Arabidopsis thaliana: one gene and its partner. The protein of the gene in region 1 purifies or fractionates together with the protein of each later gene. This does not show direct contact. Each region holds a gene or a part of one and is shown in the gene's direction. Other genes may lie near its edges. The genes, in order: CRK3 and TUB9.

Region 1 (6,842 bases):
CATGTTTAGGATTAGGCCTAGAAGCGGGTTGATATTGGGCCTATACTGGGCTGAACTGTTTTCCTTTGAAAATTAAGGATAAGATCTACATTGTGAACGACAAGCTGGGCTCGATTGTTTCGGGCTCATAAGGGGATATTATTATTATTTAATCAATTTCTGCAAAATATTTACCAACATAACTTAAAACAAATTCTAACAATTAGGATGACAACAAATCTACCATTTTTTTCGTGGTTTACCATTTGTTTAATTTACGAAGTAGTTGTGAAAATAAACTTGAAAGGAAATATTGTGTCGTATAAGTTATAACTCATTTTTGAATGGTGAATTTGATAAATATTTTTAGACACATGTTTATTATATTATCAAACTGCTGACAAGAAATATATTAATATGAATGAGCATTGACCATTGGACATAAATCCAAACGAAGAGTTCTTAAAACATACGCTATGATATCAGATGACGGTAATAACAAATTAATACATACGCTAAAATTTACAGAAAATACAAGATTTTTTCACTTTCTCTATTTTTTAACGAAATATTTGTCGACTTCTGAGGTAATCGATGTTAGCCTTGAGTTTTGTAATTTGTATAAAAAATGTACTCCAATCACAATAATTTTGGTGTATAATAAATCCAATTAAACTAAACAAATGCATGTTGTTGGACTTACTTTAAGTCGGTTCAATATTTTGTAAAATACCATAGAATATTGAAGGTGGATTCTATTCCCCATTTACATTTATTTATTTTCCTTCTATTTTCGACATACTTTAAAATTATATTATTACCCATTTGTTCGGCTTTATGGACAATTATTGGTGTAAATGACCATATATTTCCTAATGTCTGCTGATACAAACAAACGGTAACTTCTAAACTTTCAATTTGTTTAATTTATTACATCAAGGTTTATCTTTCAAAATAAATTTAAAGAAAAACTGCTTCTTACCTATTTGATAAGTTGATAGTAATGTTTGTGTTAAATCTCCTCATAGACGTCGCTTTACCTATTAATTACCACTATAATTTAATTTCATAATTGGATTTAGTGTCACCCTAATTTTAGTACGAGAGATCTCTAAAGAAAAAAGTGAAAACACAATCACAGAAAATTATTACAATTTTTAACAAGATTCTAGTATAAAACATATTGATTTCAACGTAAAGAAAATTTAATCACAAAGAAAAAAAACAATAACTTTGTAATATTGTATCTCCGTGTGATTGCTTTACACATGGATTTATTTAATTAATTAACAGATAAAACATATTAATTCCAACTTCTTCTTTCTTTCTTTTTTGGACAAAAATTTCAACTTTTTTTATAATATAACTTTTGTGTCGAAAATATATACTTTTCCTGAAAAAGAGTGATAACTAATTAAAAAAAAAATGTTTAGAAGTACAAAAGAAAAGTATTGTTTCCAAATTCGAGAAAAAGCTGTAATCACGCCCTTGTGTTTAATTCTCAATAAATCACATTTAAAAGCGATTTTTTTAACGGCCCAGATATTGTCACGTAGGATAACGTACTCCGTATATTCTCCATTTCCGAACCATCCGACCAGGTCGCATCATATGTTGTGAAAAAATCGTTATGGAAGAAACTCTGTTTTAGTTAGATCCAATAATATTAAGCCACGTGGAATTGATGAATCCAATCTTCTTTATAAACTCCGTTTTCGGAATTTTGATTTTGTTTAAAATGTCTTACAAATTTATATAAGGAAACGGCAAAAGAGCCCAAAAAGTAACAAAAGACAAAACAATTAAAGGAAAAAAGAAAGAGTCAAAAGAACTCGAACTATCATATAATAAGAAAAGAAAAAGACATAGGACAAAATAAAATATATTCATATTCACAAAACACAAAACAAAATTGTTAATCAAATAGTATAAGACTAAAAATGCCTGATTAGGGGAAGGTAGTTGTTGTTGAATAGTGACTAGAACGAGTTAAATGGTTTGAGATCTCCAAGTTTACATTTCAACATCTCAGATTTTAATCCAACGGTTCTCAATCCTTCTACTACGTAAAAACACCACCGTCCCCGTTCCGTTCCGTTCTGTTCTCTCTGTCACTTTTGTCTCTTCTAAGTTTTTAACACTTACCTTGTCGTCTCTGTTCTTCTTCTTCTCTCATTCCTTTCGTTTATCGTTTTCTTCTTCCAATTTTGGATCTCTCTTCCTTTTGATCTGATTCGTTACTTGCTCTATGTTGCTTCAATTTTGAATTCTTTTGATTTTTGATTGTGTGGGGGAGATGGGGCAATGTTACGGGAAGGTTAATCAGAGTAAGCAAAATGGTGAAGAAGAAGCTAACACGACTACTTATGTTGTTTCCGGCGACGGGAATCAGATTCAGCCTCTAACTCCGGTTAATTACGGTCGAGCTAAGAACACTCCAGCTAGGTCATCGAATCCGAGTCCTTGGCCTAGTCCTTTCCCTCACGGATCAGCGAGCCCTCTTCCTTCTGGTGTTTCTCCTTCTCCGGCCAGAACTTCCACTCCGAGGAGGTTTTTCCGACGGCCTTTCCCGCCGCCTTCTCCAGCCAAACACATTAAGGCTTCTTTGATCAAACGTCTTGGAGTGAAGCCTAAGGAAGGTCCGATCCCTGAGGAGAGAGGAACTGAGCCGGAGCAGTCGCTTGATAAGAGCTTTGGTTATGGCAAGAATTTTGGTGCTAAGTACGAATTGGGGAAAGAAGTGGGTCGAGGGCATTTTGGTCATACTTGTTCTGGCCGTGGTAAGAAGGGAGATATTAAGGATCATCCTATTGCTGTCAAGATCATCTCCAAGGCTAAGGTTTTAAATTCTCAATCTTTTGAACATCTAGTTTTTGATTTTGGGATTGCTTGCATTGGTGTTGAATTTTAGCTTATATTGTGATTTGTTTGTTGCTGATGCTGCTACAAGAATCTGTGGAGGGTTTTGAAATGTGGAACGAGTAATGCTTACATTTTCTCGTAGTTGAGGTAGTGAAAGTAAGATTCTTGGGTTTGGATAATGGCTGTGGGACAGTGAATTGTCTTTTTCTTCCAGCTGAGTCTCTTGAGACAAACAATGTTGTCTCTTTTGATAGGTAAATTTTTTGTTTGGCAGTGAGTTGAGTAGACAAAAATGTGAACTTTTTGTTGATTTGTCAGCATTAGGACAAGGATAGTCATCAAAGAATGAGTTTCATGTACTAATGTTTATGAGCTTTTCTTCTGCAAACATTTGTTTGTTCGAAGCTTGTAATCACAGTTAGGTTACGTTTTGATTACTTAGCTGTTGATTTTGTAAGAATGTTATGGTGTTACATGTGATATTTGTTGTCTGTTTCATCCTTTTTTGAAAAGATGATTCATGAAAAACGTAACTAGAGAAGTCTTTGTCTGGCTGCGTCCTGGGGAGACCATAATCTGACATTCCTTTTGTCTGCATTAGGACACAATGTTTTATGTATGGGCTTCACTTTTGAAAGCTCATGATTTTGGCTTATCTTTGTAATGAAGCTGGTCTGACACATTTTGGTGACAGTTGTGCTATCCTTCTCTCTAATAGAACAAGCAAAAAGGATTTGTTGACTGAATTATCTTTCTGTACTTGGCAGATGACAACAGCAATTGCAATTGAAGATGTTCGCAGGGAGGTGAAGTTACTGAAATCATTATCTGGACACAAATATTTAATCAAATATTATGATGCATGTGAGGACGCCAATAACGTATACATAGTCATGGAGTATGTCTTGTTTCCATTTTTTTTTATCAGATATTTGATGTTCTCTCTTCCTCAGGATTTTGGCTGTTACTTAAATGTTGTAACACAGAACATCACTTCTGAACTGCATTTCTTTGAACATATCTCTGTAATCAGACACACCTTGTAAACCAGTTACTTAAATCGATGTTTGGTTCTGCTTGACCAGGTTGTGTGATGGTGGAGAACTTTTGGACAGAATTTTAGCAAGGTATGTCTGATTACTCTTTTAGGTGTTTCTCTGCATATGCCTCAAGTTAAATGCTGAGAATTTATTCATATCTATGCTCAAACACTGCATTCTCTTGTCTCAGGGGTGGTAAATACCCGGAGGATGATGCAAAGGCGATTGTCGTACAAATTCTAACTGTTGTTTCATTTTGTCATCTCCAAGGAGTTGTGCACCGTGACTTAAAGCCAGAGGTCTGTTTTTACAAAGAAAACTTTCCCTATCTCTACCTCCAGTAGCATTACACATCATTACTAAACACTCCTGTTACCTTGTTCAACAGAATTTTCTATTTACATCAAGCCGCGAAGACTCAGACTTGAAACTTATTGATTTTGGTCTCTCAGACTTTATTAGACCTGGTAAGACTTTTCATTCTTTCAGGCCTTGTCACTATACTTTCCTTATAGCTGCCTACTAGTGAAATTTGATTGAATTCCTCAATGCAGATGAAAGACTGAATGATATAGTTGGAAGTGCCTACTATGTCGCGCCTGAAGTTTTACACAGGTCATATAGCCTTGAGGCTGATATATGGAGTATTGGAGTTATTACATATATACTCTTATGTGGAAGCCGACCTTTTTGGGCACGGACAGAATCTGGAATCTTTCGCACTGTACTAAGAACTGAACCAAACTATGATGACGTACCTTGGCCTTCTTGTTCATCAGAAGGTAAAGATTTTGTGAAACGACTTCTCAACAAAGACTATAGGAAGCGAATGTCTGCAGTTCAAGCTTTGAGTGAGTTTTTTTTTTCTTTTTTTGACACATCATTGAGTTATATTATTTTGAACATTACAGAACTAATGATATGTTTATTTTCAGCTCATCCGTGGTTACGGGATGATAGTCGTGTGATTCCTTTAGACATTTTGATCTATAAGTTGGTCAAAGCCTACTTGCACGCGACACCTCTTAGACGAGCTGCTTTAAAGGTATGACTTTCTTCTTCTTCTTCTTTTGGCACAAAGTTGGTAAGAGTTGATTTAGAAGATTGAAGCATATGTTTAATAATTGAATCTAGGCGCTAGCAAAAGCATTGACCGAGAACGAGCTAGTCTATCTTAGAGCACAGTTCATGCTGTTGGGACCAAACAAAGATGGTAGCGTCTCTCTCGAAAACTTCAAGACGGTAAGTTACTTAATCTGAAGGAAGGCCTTTGGTCAATAGTCACATCGGCTTTTTTAAACTAAAAAGGTTTAATAAGCTCCATCCTCGCAGGCGCTTATGCAAAACGCAACAGACGCAATGAGAGAATCAAGAGTTCCTGAAATACTTCACACTGTGAGAACCTGAGAACAAATTTGAGAGAAAAATGAATCAATCTTTTGGTTTCTAATGATCATCTGTTTTGGCAGATGGAATCTCTAGCGTATAGGAAGATGTATTTCGAAGAGTTCTGTGCAGCAGCAATTAGCATCCATCAACTAGAAGCTGTTGACGCGTGGGAAGAGATAGCAACGGCAGGTTTCCAGCATTTTGAAACCGAGGGAAACCGAGTGATCACAATCGAAGAACTAGCAAGGGTATGGTGTTAAATGTAATCCTCTCGATTCATAGGACCGGTGTTTGGCTTCGGAACTGAATTTGACTCTGGTTATTGAACAGGAACTGAATGTGGGTGCGTCTGCGTATGGACACTTGAGAGATTGGGTAAGAAGCAGTGACGGGAAGCTGAGTTACTTAGGGTTCACTAAGTTCTTGCACGGAGTTACTCTTCGTGCTGCTCACGCAAGACCTCGCTAGTCCTTCTCTAATTTTAGGTCTTTTTCTTAATATTTTTTTTCTTCATCAGAACAGAGCAAATAGACTTCTGAGAGAGGTGAGGGGTATTTTCGTCCGTTTGTTTTGTTCTTTATCGTATTATAGAGTTTCAATTTTATGGTACAGAAAAGACCAAAATGAAAAAAAGATATAAACATGTGCATAAGGTAGATGGGTTACAGTCATTTTTTTGCAAGTATAATATATGAACATCTATGGTTCAAGTAGTCATATTGTATGTCAATTGCTTTTAACTTTTACATTGTTTCCTCTAAGCAAATCACTTCATCATCATCATCTCCATTACAACAAATCCTTAAGAATATCATTCATACCATTAAAGAGGTCTAGCATCTAATCAAACGATTTTCAGGCCAACTACTAATTCTACATAAGGCTATTATGAAGGGTTAAAACTTAAAAGCAAAAGACAATAAAGTAACGCTGTCCTAATCAACAAATTAAAAAATGAAATGAAAAGTGATAAAACAACAATTAGTGATAACCCAAAAAAAAGCTAAGCCTTTCCTTTTCTCAAATGGTGCCGACAATCGAATCATAACCATTTATTACAAATCATGATAGTGAGATGAGTGGGTTCGATCGTACCCATTAGTCTACGGAAAACAGGCACTCTACAGGTGTGATAGTATATATATACAGCCCAAATCATGATACTTTTCGCTTTCTTAAACTAATTGTTTCACAAGTATATATGTTTTAATTTAGATAGTTATATTTAATATAAATGAGATTAGATTGTAGTACTGCCCATATTTTTTTGTAGAATGTATACAAACTACAAAGATATCAGTAAGAAGATAGGATCTTCTTGGTTTCATCCTTTTTACTGTGTGATATTGTGATTGGTGAAATAGGATCTTTGGAATTAACGCATAGAGTAAAAGACTCTGAAGAATGCATGAGTAACCTGCTAACATTGGAAGATGCATTGCTATTTACTTCGATGTGTATGTATTCTCTATTGATTAAAATATCACTAGTAATAGTCAAATGAAAGATTTAATGCTTTAGAGGACCAGCCGTTACAATGTAAGGTAAAAGGAAATATTTTATACAAAAACT
Region 2 (4,826 bases), on another chromosome or scaffold:
AGAAGTTGGGAAACCAGTTTCAACAACGAGAGATCCACCATGTTTAGGAGATTGTTGAAAGTCTGATACGAATCTAGAGATCCGACTAGATTTAGATTTCTTCCAAGGTAAAGGCATGTTGAAGGAAAGAAAGAAAAAAGGATTTAGACTTTTAAAATCTTTTTTTTGGTGATAAATCACCTCTCCGAAGAACCCAGAAAAAAGGGTTTGTCGAAGAGATAGAGAAGAAGATCTGGTTGGAAGATCAAAACCATTAATTAGACATTTTGGAGAGACAAATGCAATAAATGGAGAAGAAACCTCTTCCTGCCCTCTTTGCGCAGAAAGTGAAATGAGAGAGAGAGAGATATGATGAGGAAACCGCTAAAAAGACATTGCAGGACGACGCGTGCCTTAACCAATTATTTTACTTCCTTTTTTTTGTTACAAAAAATTTGTTATTTATTTCCATTTTTGTTAAATTTGTACAACTGTACTATGCAGTTTTTAAGATTTTACACTTTCTGCTGTACCAAAATATTACCTATGTCCATCTGACCGAAATTATTAAATTAATTCTAATAAAAAAATTCTAATAAAGCTGATCAATTTATTTATTTTAGACTTAAACTTTACAAAAACTAATTTATTCAGCTTAATTTCCCCAATATGTAAAAACATTAATGACTACAAGTATGGTATAACAGTAGCTTCAAAATCTTAATTCATTTATACCGAAGCAAAAGTGAATTTGGTAAACCGGTGAAAAAAACAAACCATTCCGAAACAGATTTAAGATTTTTGTTCAATTATATTTTGTAAGCAAACAAATTACATCGAACTAAACTAAACTAAACAACCGAAATATGCATCCATATTATTTGTGAACTAAACATGGTAAACCGGTAATAGCTATTTTAAGATCCTTACATTTTTAAAATTTGTCTAAAGATAATTTGAACAATTTCATCTATTGTTAAACCTATCAACGAATTGTGTCTATAGTTAGATGCTAAAAAACCTTCCTGATAGATTTTTTTTTGTTTGAACCGTTGATTCATATAATAAACTTAGAAGCAAGACATATAGTAATATTTTTTCACTTGAAAATTGATATTTATGCAACAGATTAACTATTCTAAAATCGTCATATTTATGAGTTGTTATTTGCCTGTAAGCCATTTACTTCTAATTTCTATTGTCAGCTTATCTAATTAATTTGGTGATTTGCTAAATAAGTAAAATTGCCTATTATTGGTGTGAAAAACAACAAAGGAAAATCCACTAATGACGCAAATTCGAATCTTTTGGTCTTTAATTTCAATATCCGAAGAAAAAAGGATCTAATCAATAATATAAAAAAGCGTAGAAAACAATTTGCCTTTATATAACTTTCACGAGTGATTTTGTAAATATTTTATAATTAATTAACAAAAATATCTAAGGAAAGATATTTGTTTTTGATTCGCTGTATAACAGCACATAAAGGAAACCAAATCGAAAAACTATCAGGGTAATATCAAAAACCAATAGAAGTCTAAGGACGAAAATGCAAATTATTTGAGAAACTAGAGAAAAAAGGAGGTAAACTATATATAGCCGATTACTACTCTCATTTGTTTTTATACCCCTCAATCATAAACAATAAACAGAGGGAGTCGCCAAATTTTCTCATCATTTTCTCGAGAAAATAGACTAAAAGCGATTCCCGAGAGAAAGAAAGAACAAAAAAAAAACATCCGAGTGAAAATGAGAGAAATTCTTCATATTCAAGGAGGTCAGTGCGGAAACCAGATCGGAGCTAAGTTCTGGGAAGTTATTTGCGGCGAGCACGGTATTGATCAAACCGGTCAGTCATGTGGCGATACAGATCTACAGCTTGAAAGGATCAATGTCTATTTTAACGAAGCTAGCGGAGGCAAATACGTTCCTCGTGCTGTTCTTATGGATCTGGAGCCTGGAACTATGGATTCTCTCAGATCTGGGCCGTTTGGTCAGATTTTCCGGCCTGATAACTTCGTTTTTGGTCAGTCTGGTGCTGGGAATAACTGGGCGAAAGGTCATTACACGGAGGGAGCTGAGTTGATTGATTCTGTGCTTGATGTTGTGAGGAAGGAAGCTGAGAACTGTGATTGTCTTCAAGGTGAGAGAGATACGCTTTCATTTTCTAGGTTTTCGTTTTCTGAATCTCGTTTGTGTTTTGATTTGTTAGCGTTTCCTGTTCCTGTATGCATTCGAATTCAGATCTGCTATTAGAAACTCCTTCATAGATGCTTTGTTTAGCGTTTGATTTCATTCTCTGATTGATGATTCATTTGTGGAGCAGGTTTTCAAGTTTGTCATTCTTTGGGAGGAGGAACTGGTTCTGGAATGGGAACACTTCTTATTTCTAAGATTAGAGAGGAATATCCAGATCGTATGATGATGACCTTTTCGGTCTTCCCATCTCCTAAGGTCTCTGATACAGTTGTTGAGCCATACAATGCTACTCTTTCCGTTCACCAGCTCGTTGAGAATGCTGATGAATGTATGGTTTTGGATAACGAAGCTCTTTACGATATCTGTTTCCGTACCTTGAAGCTTGCTAATCCTACATGTGAGATTTACAAACCATTTATTCTCTTGTTTTCTAATATTCATGTGATTGTAGTTTTGAAAATCCTGACATTGTTCTTCTTTCTTATGTGGTGGTGTATCTTAGTTGGTGACCTTAACCATCTCATCTCAGCTACAATGAGTGGTGTTACATGCTGTCTTCGGTTCCCTGGTCAACTAAACTCTGACCTTAGAAAACTTGCTGTGAACCTTATTCCTTTCCCACGACTCCACTTCTTCATGGTTGGTTTTGCACCTTTGACATCAAGAGGATCTCAACAATACAGTGCCTTGAGTGTCCCTGAGCTAACTCAACAGATGTGGGATGCCAAAAACATGATGTGTGCAGCTGATCCTCGTCATGGTCGTTACTTGACAGCTTCTGCTGTCTTCCGTGGAAAGATGAGTACCAAAGAGGTTGATGAACAGATGATGAACGTCCAGAACAAAAACTCCTCATACTTTGTTGAATGGATTCCAAATAACGTGAAATCAAGCGTCTGCGATATAGCTCCCACTGGTTTGAAAATGGCATCAACTTTCATTGGAAACTCAACTTCAATCCAGGAAATGTTCAGGCGTGTGAGTGAACAGTTCACTGCCATGTTCAGGAGAAAGGCTTTCCTTCATTGGTACACAGGAGAAGGAATGGACGAGATGGAGTTCACTGAAGCAGAGAGTAACATGAATGATCTTGTTGCAGAGTATCAGCAATATCAAGATGCTACAGTCGGTGAAGAGGAGTACGAGGAGGACGAAGAAGAAGAAGAAGCCTAAAGAAAAGATGATTGATTATTACTTTTGTAAGGCTGTAAGTTCGTCGCACTCATTTCCTTTTACCTCTTTTTCTGAATTGGGATTCTCTCTTTTTGTGCTTTGTGTGTTTTGTTATTGAATTTCTTTCCCAAACCTAAGATTTGTTCCAGAGTGTAATCACATTTGCCTATGCTTCTTTGTTTTGTCTATGAAAATATTTCAATGTCAAAAGCCTATACAATTTCTATGATCCAAAAAACTTGATAACCGGTACAAATAGATCCTACATCTCTGCGGTTTTAAGCTCTCCCTGCAATCTTTCTTCTTCTTCTTCTTCTGCTTCTTCCTCTTCTGCGATATCTGCCCAGCTTTTCTTTGATTCACTCTTCGGACCATCTGCTGTATCTTTGACGAATTCATGGAGATATTGAATCATGTTCTGGTCCAGTTTCTTTCGCTTCATGGGTTCTTCTTCTCCTCTCTCTAAGATCTTCATCTGTTCAGAGCCAAAAGGTTGTGGTTTTCCAAATAGTAGCTTTCGAGCAGCACCTCTCGTCTCTTCTTCAAACAATCTGCATCTGCGTGGTTGTGTATATAGACCTGCAGAGTTCGGTCTCACAGATGCTGGAGACGAAGAAACATCTGAGTAGTTCTTGTTTGCGGTTCCAGGAGCTATATTTTCCTTCATCCTATTCACAAATGAACATCCCGCGTAGAACTTCTCCGAAAGATCAGCTTCTGGCTTTTTCGATTCTATTTCTGCTAACATTTCGACGGCTCGGTCATAAGACTTTGCGAATGGTTCATCTCCGCATTCACTCTCTGCAGGAGAATCTCTTACATCATCAAGCAGAGATTTAGCTTCAGGAATTCGACTCATACGCATCAAGCAGATTGCAAGGTTACAGAGTTTGTTTTTGTCTCGCTCCAAACCCAAAGCTCTCCTGTTCATAATCAGTTGAATATAAGCAAAACTCACATGACCAGACAGTAATCAATATTTGGGATTTTGGTAACAAAACCAAACCTGTAATGCTGCTCTGCAATTCCATAGTTATGTAACTGTAAATGAACCCAGCCCAAGTTCCCTAGTATCCTAAAATGTTCAAACAACAATGGAAACGTCAATTCAAGAGACAAAACACTCATCAAGCTAACATGAGAATACACCGAAACTTTCTCACCTTGCTTTCTCTTGCTCGATAGTCATAATAACATGTTTTCCTTGAACCCTTTTTGCTCTACTGACTCTACCACCAAATCCCATTCCTTGTTCGAGTGTTTGCAGTTTGTGCTCAAGTAAAACAGCTTCTTCTTCAATTCTCCCTGACTTCTGCAAAAACACCAAAACCCATTTCCAAGTTATAACAACTCCATAACACTTGCTGCATTAACAAAGAAGGAGGCTGCATTACCTTGTAGAGCTCGAGTAGCAAGTTATCAATCGAGTCTTGAGACTCGAAAGAACAGAGATACCGAAAGGATTTAATAGCTTC

Evidence for each region.
Region 2: the proteins of CRK3 (region 1) and TUB9 purify together in Arabidopsis thaliana (affinity purification with mass spectrometry, with the first as the bait; one study listed by BioGRID). This does not show direct contact.

What each region holds. Positions count from the first base shown.
Region 1 is NC_003071.7:19,181,864-19,188,705, reverse strand, and holds CRK3 (CDPK-related kinase 3), read left to right. Parts: upstream 1-1,893; 5' UTR 1,894-2,275; coding exon 2,276-2,818; exon of another isoform or gene 2,819-3,095; intron 3,096-3,608; coding exon 3,609-3,739; intron 3,740-3,926; coding exon 3,927-3,968; intron 3,969-4,071; coding exon 4,072-4,180; intron 4,181-4,269; coding exon 4,270-4,348; intron 4,349-4,435; coding exon 4,436-4,732; intron 4,733-4,816; coding exon 4,817-4,926; intron 4,927-5,015; coding exon 5,016-5,123; intron 5,124-5,213; coding exon 5,214-5,276; intron 5,277-5,350; coding exon 5,351-5,518; intron 5,519-5,600; coding exon 5,601-5,738; 3' UTR 5,739-6,053; downstream 6,054-6,842. UniProt on the Arabidopsis thaliana protein: May play a role in signal transduction pathways that involve calcium as a second messenger. Serine/threonine kinase that phosphorylates histone H3 an GLN1-1.
Region 2 is NC_003075.7:11,180,490-11,185,315, forward strand, and holds TUB9 (tubulin beta-9 chain), read left to right. Parts: upstream 1-1,602; 5' UTR 1,603-1,728; coding exon 1,729-2,122; intron 2,123-2,305; coding exon 2,306-2,575; intron 2,576-2,680; coding exon 2,681-3,351; 3' UTR 3,352-3,613; downstream 3,614-4,826. Other genes in the region: AT4G20880 (ethylene-responsive nuclear protein / ethylene-regulated nuclear protein (ERT2)), read right to left, coding at 1-117; MS5 (Tetratricopeptide repeat (TPR)-like superfamily protein), read right to left, coding at 3,614-4,274, 4,310-4,426, 4,515-4,663, 4,746-4,826. UniProt on the Arabidopsis thaliana protein: Tubulin is the major constituent of microtubules, a cylinder consisting of laterally associated linear protofilaments composed of alpha- and beta-tubulin heterodimers.